Linked DNA regions of Caenorhabditis elegans. The protein of the gene in region 2 interacts with the protein of the main gene of each other region in a biochemical or structural test. Each region holds a gene or a part of one and is shown on either strand. Other genes may lie near its edges. The genes, in order: prmt-1 and F41H10.3.

Region 1 (4,803 bases), on a different chromosome or scaffold from region 2:
AGCCTGAAAATCGATGATTTTCTGACTTTTTCCCGAAAATTATTCGATTTTTCTTGATTTTCGCCGGCTTCTACCTCATCATCGAGTTCATCTTCGGGATCAACCTTCGAATTTTCATAAGGCGATTTTGTGCCCACTAGCTTCGTCCATTCCACCTTCCGAGCCAATTTTCCAACATGATCAGTGAACGTCTCGGGCTGCAGGTACCTCTCCACACCGTCAAATCCGATTTCCTGGATTTTCCAGTCATCATTGGATTCCAGCACGAGATCCACTCCTAGTCGTTTTGTGAGATTCACAATGTCTTCGGATTCCGGCTCGATAGGCTCCACCACTTCATCGCCGTCTTCCATTTTTTTTGTGCTAAACTTTTTTAAAAATAATTTTTCGGTTTTTCTTTTGGCGCTGCTCACTATTGATTGAATATTAAAAATATATCTAAAGGCTGCGTAACCTATAAATTATAAAATCGCTTAAAAATTGCAAAAAACTTGAATTTTGGCAGATTTTTTTTTATGGAAAAAGGTCAACAAATGGAGTACCGAGCAGAGTGAGCGTGCGCGCGGATAGAGGAGGTGCGCGACAACAACCCGCATCGAGGTATATACAATCGAGTATCTGCGGAAATCGGGAGGTTTCGGGGGGAACAACGGGGGATCAACAAAGTGTAAAAATTGGGGGCAAAAAAGTGTGAGAAAAAAGACGAAAAAAAAAACAGCAAAAATTAGTGCATGGTGTAGGTGTTCTGCTCGTTGAGATCACACACTTCTCCCTTGAAATCGAACGAAATGTTGATATCCAAGTCACGTTCGTTGTTCTTGTTTGGTGCCATCTCGAATGATCCGGTTATTTCCTCGCCTTTCTTTACTGTGAGCGCGTCCTGAAAAAATCGAAAAATTGAAAAAAAAAATAAAATTTGAATCGAAAGTGTCGAATTTGAAGTCAAAGATGATGTGAAAATTGCAATTTTTTTTCTTTTTTATTAAAACAAAACTGGGTTTTTCTAGCTAACGAAAATTAGTGAAAAATACAACTTTTTGCCTAAAAACCCCGGTTTCAGTCAGAAAATCCGGTTTTTACTCGAAAAATCGATAGAAAAGTGCAAAATTCGTGCAAAAATCTTTAAAAAAACACAAATTTAATACTTAAGACTACTACAAACTACTAGTTTTGGGCGCTGCTAAACTACAAAATTACAAGATTTGGGCGCTGCTAAACTACAAACTACAAGCTTTTGGGCGCTGCTAATTCGCTTTTGGGAGCTGCTAAACTACAAACTACTAGTTTTGGGCGCTGCTAAGCTACAAACTACGATTTTGGGCGCTGCTAGACTACAAACTACAAGATTTGGGCGCTGCTAATTTAATTTTGGGCGCTGCTAAGCTACAAACTACGATTGTGGGCGCTGCTAGACTACAAACTACGAGTTTTGGGCGCTTCTAAGCTACAAACTACAAGATTTGGGCGCTGCTAAACTACAAACTACGAGTTTTGCGCGCTGCTAAGCTACAAACTACGAGCTTTGGGCGCTGCTAAGCTACAAACTACAAGATTTGGGCGCTGCTAAGCTACAAACTACGATTGTGGGCGCTGCTAGACTACAAACTACGAGTTTTGGGCGCTGCTAAGCTACAAACTACAAGATTTGGGCGCTGCTAAACTACAAACTACGAGTTTTGGGCGCCGCTAAGCTACAAACTACGAGTTTTGGGGGCTGCTAATTCATGTTTTCTTAATTTTTTGGCGAATTTTGTTTCAAAAACTGTGAAAAGGTCGATTTTCAGCCCAAAAATCGAAGTTTTTACCATTTACTGACTAAATTTGGTGAAAAACTGTTGAAAAATGGTATTTAACCCGAAAAAAAGTTATTTTTAAGCGCATACTTTAAGATAAAAGACGGTCTGCTTCCAATGAGTGTACTGTACATCTGGCCCAGTCGAGAATCCGGTTTTCTTGTGGCACTTGGAGAACTCGACGGTGAAGAAGGTGACGAAAGCTTGAATATAGTCGCTGCGAGTGCATCTCAGCTTAAAGTCCGATTTGAACGTGAGATCCTCGATTTTAACGGTGTACAAATCAACGTCCTTCAGCAGACAATTGTTGGTGTTGACCTGAGCGTTGTCGACGATATCGACGAGTGGCTCCTTGATCGCGACGTTCTTGATAGCGGACATGTTGAATCCGTAGACTGAATCCCACCAGTGGATCTTGTCCTCCTTGTACTGACGATCCTCGATAGCACAGACGTAGAGACGAGCCTTGTCCGGGAACAACATTCCATTCGGAGCCAACCATCTATCGCGGGCGACGAGCACAGTGTTGAGCATCGACTCGTAGAACAAGCAGTATCCCATCCACTCGGAAATGATGATATCGACCTTCTCAATGCCTCCTGGCAACTCGTGAACGTCCTCTACCTTCGCCTGAATCACCTCGACGATGTGGTCCAGGTTGTTGTCGGCGATTATTTTGCGGGAGGTGAGCGCCATGTTGGAGAATTCCATCTGAAGGAAAAGGAAATTTTTAAAAACCGTTCAAAAAATCCAAAAAAAACTCACCGCGAAAACCTTCTTCGCTCCAGCCTTGGCGGCGAACATGGAAAGAATTCCAGTTCCCGAGCCAACATCCATCACAACTTTGTCTTTGAACAAGTGCGAGTTATGATAGATCGAGTTCCGGTAGGTGGTGGTTCGCACCTCGTCCTTGAGCATCTCCTCGTGGATACCGAAGTGAGCGTACGAGTCGAAGTAGTAGTCCTTGCTGGTCAACTCTTTTGCAGCCGGTGCCGCCACCGGCGCATCTGCGGACTTCCCGTTTTCGGTACTCATTGTCCCGCTGGAAAAAGGTTAATTATTAAATTAATTAATGTGAGATCCACATGCTCTGAAATCCACTTTTAGGGCCAAAATTCATGTATTTTCTTGTTCGAAAAGCTTTTTAATCAAAAAATAATTAATTTTCAGCAAAAAAAACCAAAAAATCAATTGAAAATCAACTGAAAATCATGAAATTCGAGTGAAAAAGACGAAAAAAAAAGGAAAACTCATTTCAAATCAACACCTAAAAATGCGGGCGTTGCGAGACCCAACACACACGAAACCGCATGCGCCTTTAAATTTGTGTCGATTTACGCAGTGGCTGACGTGTATTTTTCCATCGAAATTTTCTTCTTTTTTTGGGAGATTTCTGAATTTAAAATTGAATTTTAAGTTAAAATTTTAATTTTTCAGATAAAAAATCATGTCAGACGACTTGCCAATCGATATTCACAGCAGTAAATTGCTTGGTAACTCGTTATCCATTAATTTTAACCCAAAAAACACCGCAAAAACTTTAGATTGGCTGGTTTCCCGTCGTCATTGCAACAAAGATTGGCAAAAAAGCGTGGTGGCGATTCGAGAAAAGATCAAACATGCCATTTTGGACATGCCGGAGTCGCCGAAAATCGTGGAGCTGCTGCAAGGAGCGTGTTAGTTGGTTTTTTGCCCAAAAAAGACCAAAAAATTGTTAAAAAACTACAAAAAGGCTCGACTACCAAGTTTTTTTTGCAAAAAATCTGATTAAAAAAAATAGTTTTTCACCAAAAACAGTCAGAAAAACGAATAAAATCTCTCTTGTCCGCAGGAGGCTTAGGCTCACCCTTGAACCAAACGGACAACCTTTACCTTTACTTTTTAAATTTACGGAAAAATGCAAAAAATTCAATAACAGTCCCATTAACAGCTCGAAATCCGGATTAGCAGCGCCCAAATCTTGTAGTTTGTAGTTTTAGCAGCGCCCAAAATTGAATTAGCAGCGCCCAAATCTTGTAGTTTGTAGTTTTAGCAGCGCCCAAAATTGAATTAGCAGCGCCCAAAACTTGTAGTTTGTAGTCTTAGCAGCGCCCAAAATTGAATTAGCAGCGCCCAAATCTTGTAGTTTGTAGTTTTAGCAGCGCCCAAAATTGAATTAGCAGCGCCCAAAACTTGTAGTTTGTAATGTTAGCAGCGCCAAACCATTTTTTTGAGAAAAATCCAATTAAATTACAGTTTTTAGTCGTTTTTCGCCAAATTTAGCGAGAAAAATCATTAAAATAGAAAAAATAATAAATTTTTCTGTCAAAAAAGCCGTAATTATTCAATTTTTAATCTAAAAATTGCCAAAAATTCAGTTTTTCACCCAAAAAAGTCAGAAAAACATATAAAATTGTGATTTTTGCGGTGAAAACCGACTATAATTTAGTTTTCGTGCCGAAATTTACGAAAAAAATGCAGAAATTTCGATAAAATTCCCATTAACAGCTCGAAATCTGGATTAGCAGCGCCCAAAACTTGTAGTTTATAGTGTTAGCAGCGCCCAAAATTGAATTAGCAGCGCCAAACTTTTTTTCTGCAAAAACCTGATAAAATAACATTTTTTTGAATTATTTTTCGCCAAATTTAGTTAGGAAAATGCATTACAATGCTATTTTTGCCGTAAAAATCTTCAAAAAATCGATTTTTATTCAATTTTTAATTTAAAAATTGCCAAAAATTCAGTTTTGCACCAAAAACAGTCAGAAAAACATATAAAATTGTGATTTTTGCGGCGAAAACCGACTATAATTTAGTTTTCGTGCCGAAATTTACGAAAAAAATGCAGAAATTTCGATAAAATTCCCATTAACAGCTCGAAATCCGGATTAGCAGCGCCCAAAACTTGTAGTTTGTAGTGTTAGCAGCGCCCAAAATTGAATTAGCAGCGCCCAAAACTTGTAGTTTGTAGTGTTAGCAGCGCCCCAAATTGAATTAGCAGCGCCAAACTTTTTTTCTGCAAAAACCTGAT
Region 2 (7,430 bases):
TGATTTATGTTTCAGAAATATATGATTCATCCTCGTGATTTGAACATTGTCATCAACCTTGTCTCTGATAATACTCTACAAACAGACTCCCAGAATTGGGTTCCAATCTGTCTGCCACGGTTCAATGACACAGGATTTTTCTACGCCTACATATCGTATCCATGGTGCAATAAAGAGCAAGATATTCCTGTGTGCATTGTGCTTCTTTCGGTGAAACGAGATCATTTCGATGGGCTCAAGGAAGTTCGACAACAAATTGTGACGAAGTTGGAAAATAATCAAAAGTTCTTTGTTAACTTTGCACAGGCGATGAAGACGCCGAATCTTTATCAAATATCACAAATCGGATCGAATTCCGAATCGCTTTGGTCGTTTTTGTATTTAAATCATTCTTCAAAGCAAGTCTGTATGTCAGCCTCAAAGTGAGTTAGCCTCTAAATGTTCCATTAATTATATGCGCTCTATTATTTCAGAATTCCCCTAATAACACGTGACGAACGATGGATTGCTCGTTCAGAAATGCGTCGATCTTCATCATTATCATCTCTCCATCCACATCTTCGAACTCTTTTCGTACGTGGCACCAAACATTGTCTTTTTGTTTGGGTCACTGATCTCTTTTCACTTTACTGCATATTCGGACCATTTGTCACCGCAACAATCGCATTCCAAGTCGTCGAAAAGCTTCTGAAATCGCTGAAATCTCACGAACAACGATATTTTATCATTAATTCAACATCCTTTTAATTTTCAACTGTTTGTAAAAATTGTGATACTTAAAACGTTTACGTGTTTTCTAACCACAGATTTTAATTTGCCAATATATTTTTACTGCCCTTCAAATTGCCAAAAAAGATCAAGTAGAAATTAATAAAGCGAACCTCTCATTCATTACTGTTTACAGCAAGTGTAATACGTCTTAAATGACGTCCTATGATCTAATGTACTTATTAAACAAAGTTATTGGAAAGAATAGGGAAAAGTATCGATTAAAACGTACACATTTCGAATTGATGTTGGGGGAAGCGGAGTGTGTTTGAAGGAGTCTCGCTCGTCTCTATATCTCTGCACTCTCCGCTTCTCACACACTCTTTCGCCGTCATTTCGGCCGTGTCCCCCACTTCGTCGGTTTATTCTACCCGCCTTCTCCTTCACCATCGCTTTTTCCTCGTCCACCAACACGCGCTCTTTGAATTTCTAGCTGATGGCTATGGCAACCAGAAACCTGTGACATTTTAGTTTTGCATGAAAACTTTTTGATTTTCAAACGAAATTTGTTTTCAATGAAGAGAAACGCATAGTATTTTGAAAACTTCCATTTTTCAACGCCTGCCCATTTTTTTAAAATTTGGTTCAACTTTAAAATAGTTTAAAGTTTTTTTTTAAATTTAAGCTCGAGCTTTTTCTCCTCAATTTGTCGCAATTTTTTAATTGTAAAAACAATTTTTTTTTGTAATTAGCTAAACTTATTCCTATAAAAATCCTGAAACGCCGCTTGCACTTTCACTATACGAATAACTCTTTATATTATGTTTTTGATGGGTATTAGAACAATTTAAAAGCACCCTTTCACACATAACAAAAGATTTCTGGGCACGAAAAAAAACAAATTAGCATGGATTTCTATCTGAAAACGCCTGAAAATCGATTTTTTCTGCTATTAGTCCAATGGAGCGCACTTCCTGACCCCATCATTTTTTGTATTTTTTCGAATTTCCCATCGTTTTTAGGCCAAATTTTTTGTATTAATAATCTTAATTTCTAGTTTTCTTTGCTTTTATCTTTTCTTCAAGTCATTTCAATCCTCATATCACTATTTTCAGCTCAAAAATGTCGTACCGCGTGTTTTCACGCGTCGATCCCCATGTGCCATCGACATCCACAGCTCCACAGCGTCGTTTTCAAGAAAACTTGCAAAAATTCAAGCGATTTTTTCCGCCAAACGCACCACCAACACTCTGGGAAGTTTGCTCCTCGAAACAACGCAGCAAATCATTGAAAAACACGTTTCAAACGGTAAGTTGATCAGAAAAAAAAACTGAAGGAACGAAAATCAATCATGTCGAAGCTTGCAGGAAGTACGTGCACTACGAGGACTTAATTTTACAGTATTGCTGAATCCGTACAAAGTAAGTTTTAAGAAATTCCACAAAAGAACCATAAATTTTTGTTCAGAACTATCTCAATGATCTCACAAATCTATCCGGTTTCACCTTCGATGATCTTTGTCAAGCACTTCGATTCTTTGCATTTTATGTGAGTTTTGAGTTTTAAAAAAAATCAGACGAATATTGAAATGTTTCAGAGAAAACAGCCAGTTTTGAAGTCAAATATGGAAGATGCTAACGAATTATTTCGATTAATTGCAAGTTGCATCATTTATTCAAATGATAACTGGAGGGCGTCCATCGATAAATCAACACTAGTGGATACGCTGTCAATGAACATTTTGGAGGTAAAGAAAATGCAAAATATTCCTTCAGAATACAATAAATTCATAATTTTCAGAAGCAGAGGCTTAAGAATCTGAAACAAGAATCATCTGAACAAAAAGATCCAATATACCCACCACTATTCCAAGATGATGAGCTACCTTCTGTTCCAATACAAATTGGCAGATTGAAAGACAGAGAAAAAGTACCAATTCCTCCGCCTCCTTGTAGAAATGATTTTTCGATGCGACAATTTAATCCGTTGGAAGATGAACATTTACGATCAATGCACCTGTGGAATCATGTTGGGTGTAATGATGCAAAATTCAATGGGCCATTTGAGAGAACTATCAAAATGATGTCTAAGAATAATGTTGCGGTTTGTTTAACATTGAATTTATTTTTAAAATAATAATGATAAATTTTAGATTCGCTCCAAAGATCGACGATTGAGCGATGTGGAATATTACGGAGACAATGAAGATTTACCATCCACACATATCAGTTTTAGATTAGATTCTGTGATGCAATTGATTAACTTTGATTTCCCCAAAATTGAAGATGATGGTGAGTACCACTTTTTCCGTTTTTTTTTTAAGAGAAAAGTCAATTTAAATTAATTTTTCAATAAAAACGAGCTGAAAATTGATGAAAAAACAGGTAAAATAAAACCGTGCGGCAACATTGCGAAAACGCGTGCCGCGGAAAGGCAACTCCGCGGCGCGCGCTTCCGCAACCCGCCGCATAGTTTTTTTGCATATTGTTCATCTCATTTTTTATAATAAATTTTCAATTTTTGTTGATTTTATCAAGCTTACCTATCAAAATCTTGAAAAATAATATTTAGAATGGCTATATTACTTAAATCCGAAGAAATTTCGTGAGAAACAATTGAAATTAAGATGCGTTGCGATTTATTTCAAAAAATATCTGAATTTATGCCAAATATTTGAAAAATCTCCCAAAAGACCTGAAAATTTTGATTTCAGGATATTTCTCCAAAGAATGTCTGGATAGTGCATGGTATCTCTACGAGAATTATCAAACTGCTCTTCATGAATGCACAACTGCTTTCGCAGTTATCCGACCTCCATCTGGACGTACAATCAAGCCGGGATTCGTTGAAGATGGCCTAACTACAGACGAATGTTCAGAATTTCATATGATGGGACGACATATTCATGGATTTTTCCAAGTATGGAGGGAAGAGGATCGTGGATGGAGAGAATCAAATGGAAAATGGGTCCCACGGCGATATTTGGTGGATATCTACAATCATATTATGTTTCCATTATTCGTAAAATGGGAACTTTGGCCGTCAACATTGAAATGGGCTTTTGATAAGTACAGCTTGTATGGATTAAGACTAATGTCAATGATTAGAAGACATCCACAAGAATTGTTGAATGCTGGAGAGAACTTATTTTCGAGGTATCCATCGCATTTGTTGGAATCGAATAGATATGATATGAGCACTACGAAAGGACGGAATCAGTATTTATCAGCAATTCAAATGGAGAATAATCGAGTTGTGGACAAGCATATGCACAGTTCGGTAGGTTTTTTTTCGACGAGAAATTATATACATGACAATGAATTAAAATATAAATTTTCAGGCTTACAAGCTTCTTATCGAAGAGGACGGAAGAAGGAGAAAGAGGAAACCGAAGGATGAAGCTCTACTCGGAGTTGCTGCAAAAGTACGAACACCTCGAAAAGTTCTTGAGCCACCTCTATTTGCTCCAACTCGATTTATTTCTTCATCAACTCCAAAACAACGCGCCCTGCTTGTTCAAAAAGAGAATTTGGAGAAAACAATGATTAATCAAGTGCCACCAGTTGTAAATACACCACCATCCCCACAACAGACTGCTTCACAACTCAAAAAGACGCCAACTTCGGCTACAAAACGTCATTTACCGGAAATTGAGCAAGAATTGAAGTCGGAATCTGTCCCAGCTCCACCACCAACCAAGAAAATGTCAATTATAGCTGACAGTTGGGATGATCATGTTGGTAATTCGATGGAAGAAGAACATGTAGATGAGAAGGATTCGGAGAAAATGGAAGATTCAGAAGGAAGACAGAATGTTTGGGTTCCACAGGATCGAGGAAAAGAATATGCACCTGAACAATATGCGCGAGATATTATCGAACATTGTAAGTTTTGACGAAAATCCGTTACTCGGTCCCAATTTTTTTAAATTTTCCTCAGAAAAAAATTTAATAATATTTTCCAAAGGTATTTTCTAAAATAATTTCCCAGCCGAACTTTCAGATATTCCTGCTGCTCGAGATCATCCACCTCAACCACAACAACCACCACCTCCACTACCAACGCCGAAGCCTCCACGAAGACGGAAATCCGGTCAGAAAACTGATCAAACGACTCCATCATCAGACGCCGAAGCTTCATCCGATCCTGCACCGCCTGTTCCTGCTGCTCCAGTGGCTCCTGTTGTTCCAATTGTTCCAATTGTTCCAGTTCATCCTGTACCTTTGCCAAACGGAAGTGTAAATACTCCAAAAGTGAAGACGATTGCAAAGACAACAGCACGAGTACTGTATTCCATTAAACCTCAAATACCACCAATTGCGAACAAAACTGTGTATCCTGTCAAGAAGTTGACACCTTCTGTAGTTCCGTCTCCAATGATTTTAAATGGAAATACTGCAACTGCAAGTCCATCGAAAAATGCAGCATCTGTAGTTGTCAGAAATGCATATACATTTTCATTACAGCAAAAAGCTCCATGTTAGTTTTTGTTAAACAAATATGCGAACCTGCTTGAAATTATTTTTCAGATTATCCAGCTGGAATGCGTCCGAAACCAACTCAAAATGGAATTGAAACACCTCCGACAGGAGCACAATCTTTAATGCGTGCAGCCTTCTATAGTGAGAGTCATCCTACACGAAGTCCCCTCGTCCCGTATGGTTTTGTTCCTCCAGTTGCCACATCATCTACTTTTGTACCTGCTGCAACAATACCATCACCTGCTAGCCGAGCAATAGCTCATCAGAAGCAAATGCTCTTAAATACGGAAACGTGTCGACGCGTTATGCCGTTTAATATTCAAATGGGTGAGTATTATGGATTTAAAAGAAAATTGAGCTCAAGGAAAAACTTGTAGGTTATCCAAATTTGTTTGCTTCTCTATCTCTATCTCTCTCTCTCTCTCACCTTTAAAAAAAATTTCCATAATTTCTCAATTTCTGAGTGTTGTGTCGTGGTGCTCATTAAATCCGTCCATTTCAGCATTCAAACCACGTCGTTGGGATCCTCTTCCGAAATCTTCTGGTGTTTTGGCTCATTCAAATTCAACAATACCATATGTTCAGCGAGTCCCCAACAACTCAACACAATCAGACTTTCGGCCGAGAAGCTTCAGTCAAAATAGTGTTGCTTCCCCGGCTCCTGCTCCTGTTCCAAATGCAATAAAGAGAAGAGAAGTAGGGAATTTAAAATCTCGGCAGTATGTGCCATGGATCGCAAATAGCAGGGCGTTGGTGGCAGCGGCGATGGCAACGATGGAGGAGACGGCTGAAAAGATGTCTTCGAGCCCGTTACTATCGTCACAGGCTCCGATGACAACTTTGATGCCAACTCCTCCTCCTCCGGCTCCGGCTCCTGCTCAAGCATCTGCACAATCAACATCAGCAACTCCAGCATTGGTGGATACAATATCGGCTGGTTCAACGACTACAGAAACAACTACAGGCGATTCAAATCAGTCAAAGTGAGTTTTTGAATTTTTTAATGAAAAAATATGCAGACTGGTTCGAAATAATTTTCAAAAAATTGGCATCCTTACCTTTTTCAAACCAAATATTTTCAGTCCTCCTTTACGGACGTACACATCACACATTCGAAAAACTCCTGGAACAACACTGACACCTGAAGAAATCGGCGACGCGATTCGAACTGAAAGTCAAAGATTTCAAGAGGATGGTGATGAAGGGCCAACAGTGAAAAGCTTCCTAATGAACATCTACAAATGATGGGATTTTTCTTTCATTATTGATTTATTGTTAATTATTTATTCCCCACTCCCTTTAAAAACTAATTTTTGTATCACTGTTATAACTCCGGTGTATATTTGTTTCCTCTTCCATCCCGTGTTCTTCCACTATTCTCTCATACTTATGATCTTCAGTTTATTTCGACTCTTTCTTGGTATTTCACTATTACGGCTTCCATTTTATTGTGTTGTTTTCTTTTATTATTATCATTCATATGTTATCAGCATATTTAAATAAATGTGCATTTAAATTAAAGTCCCGTCTTAGTTAGTTAGCCTTCTTTGTTTGAGTTTTTGCCTGATCCTTTGCCAAATTGTACTTTTTGCCTCCATTCTTAAGATAGTGCTCTTTGTAGAATCTGAAATTCACTTTATAATTTCTTTCAGTTTTTTAATGCTCAAACTTACTGAATCCATAGATAGAAGTAGGTAGTAAGCATGAAAAATCCGATAGCTGTTCCTCTGAACGAGTAGGCTAATCCTTCAACTCCCTCAACATAGTGTTTATAGGAAACATGAACTTGTGCGAAAATGGCAACTGCGAATTGAACCATTTGAGATGTGGTGATTGCTTGAGCAACTGATGGTGGAATTGGAACTTTCAGAGATTTCAGAAGATAGTATCCATACATGAATGCATGAATAATATAATTCATCCATACAACCCAAACCATATGGACAGCATCCTCATGGTAGCAGACAAGAGCATAGTAACCGGTCAATGCGTGATGGTACCTGGAATTAATTGGAATTATAGATGGGACAATACCTTTTTGAATTTCAGCGAAAATTAATAGGAACTTCAAGTTCTTAGCTCATTCATTTGAACTCTGAGAAGAAATTCCGAGTTTGTGTATTGCGGGAACACAAAAGTCTAAAAATGCGTACTGATCAACATATCTGACGCGCAAAATATCTCGTAGCGAAAACTACAGTAGTACCAGTAATTCTTTAAATGACTAAATACCATACGTGT

The links.
Region 1: of the proteins of F41H10.3 (region 2) and prmt-1, one has a biochemical effect on the other in vitro, tested with the Caenorhabditis elegans proteins (one study listed by BioGRID).

What each region holds. Positions count from the first base shown.
Region 1 is NC_003283.11:20,266,877-20,271,679, forward strand, and holds prmt-1 (Protein arginine N-methyltransferase 1), read right to left. Parts: upstream 2,836-4,803; 5' UTR 2,829-2,835; coding exon 2,559-2,828; intron 2,505-2,558; coding exon 1,884-2,504; intron 881-1,883; coding exon 725-880; 3' UTR 501-724; downstream 1-500. Other genes in the region: mdt-17 (Mediator of RNA polymerase II transcription subunit 17), read right to left, coding at 75-353; cdkr-3 (CDK5RAP3 protein homolog), read left to right, coding at 3,241-3,286, 3,338-3,469. UniProt on the Caenorhabditis elegans protein: Arginine methyltransferase that methylates (mono and asymmetric dimethylation) the guanidino nitrogens of arginyl residues present in target proteins.
Region 2 is NC_003282.8:5,367,976-5,375,405, forward strand, and holds F41H10.3 (RNA-directed RNA polymerase), read left to right. Parts: upstream 1-1,830; coding exon 1,831-2,016; intron 2,017-2,075; coding exon 2,076-2,129; intron 2,130-2,175; coding exon 2,176-2,256; intron 2,257-2,305; coding exon 2,306-2,455; intron 2,456-2,508; coding exon 2,509-2,811; intron 2,812-2,860; coding exon 2,861-2,999; intron 3,000-3,421; coding exon 3,422-3,987; intron 3,988-4,048; coding exon 4,049-4,592; intron 4,593-4,698; coding exon 4,699-5,187; intron 5,188-5,237; coding exon 5,238-5,516; intron 5,517-5,691; coding exon 5,692-6,172; intron 6,173-6,271; coding exon 6,272-6,434; 3' UTR 6,435-6,710; downstream 6,711-7,430. Other genes in the region: sand-1 (Vacuolar fusion protein MON1 homolog), read left to right, coding at 16-422, 474-747; elo-5 (Long chain fatty acid elongase 5), read right to left, coding at 6,723-6,813, 6,863-7,189.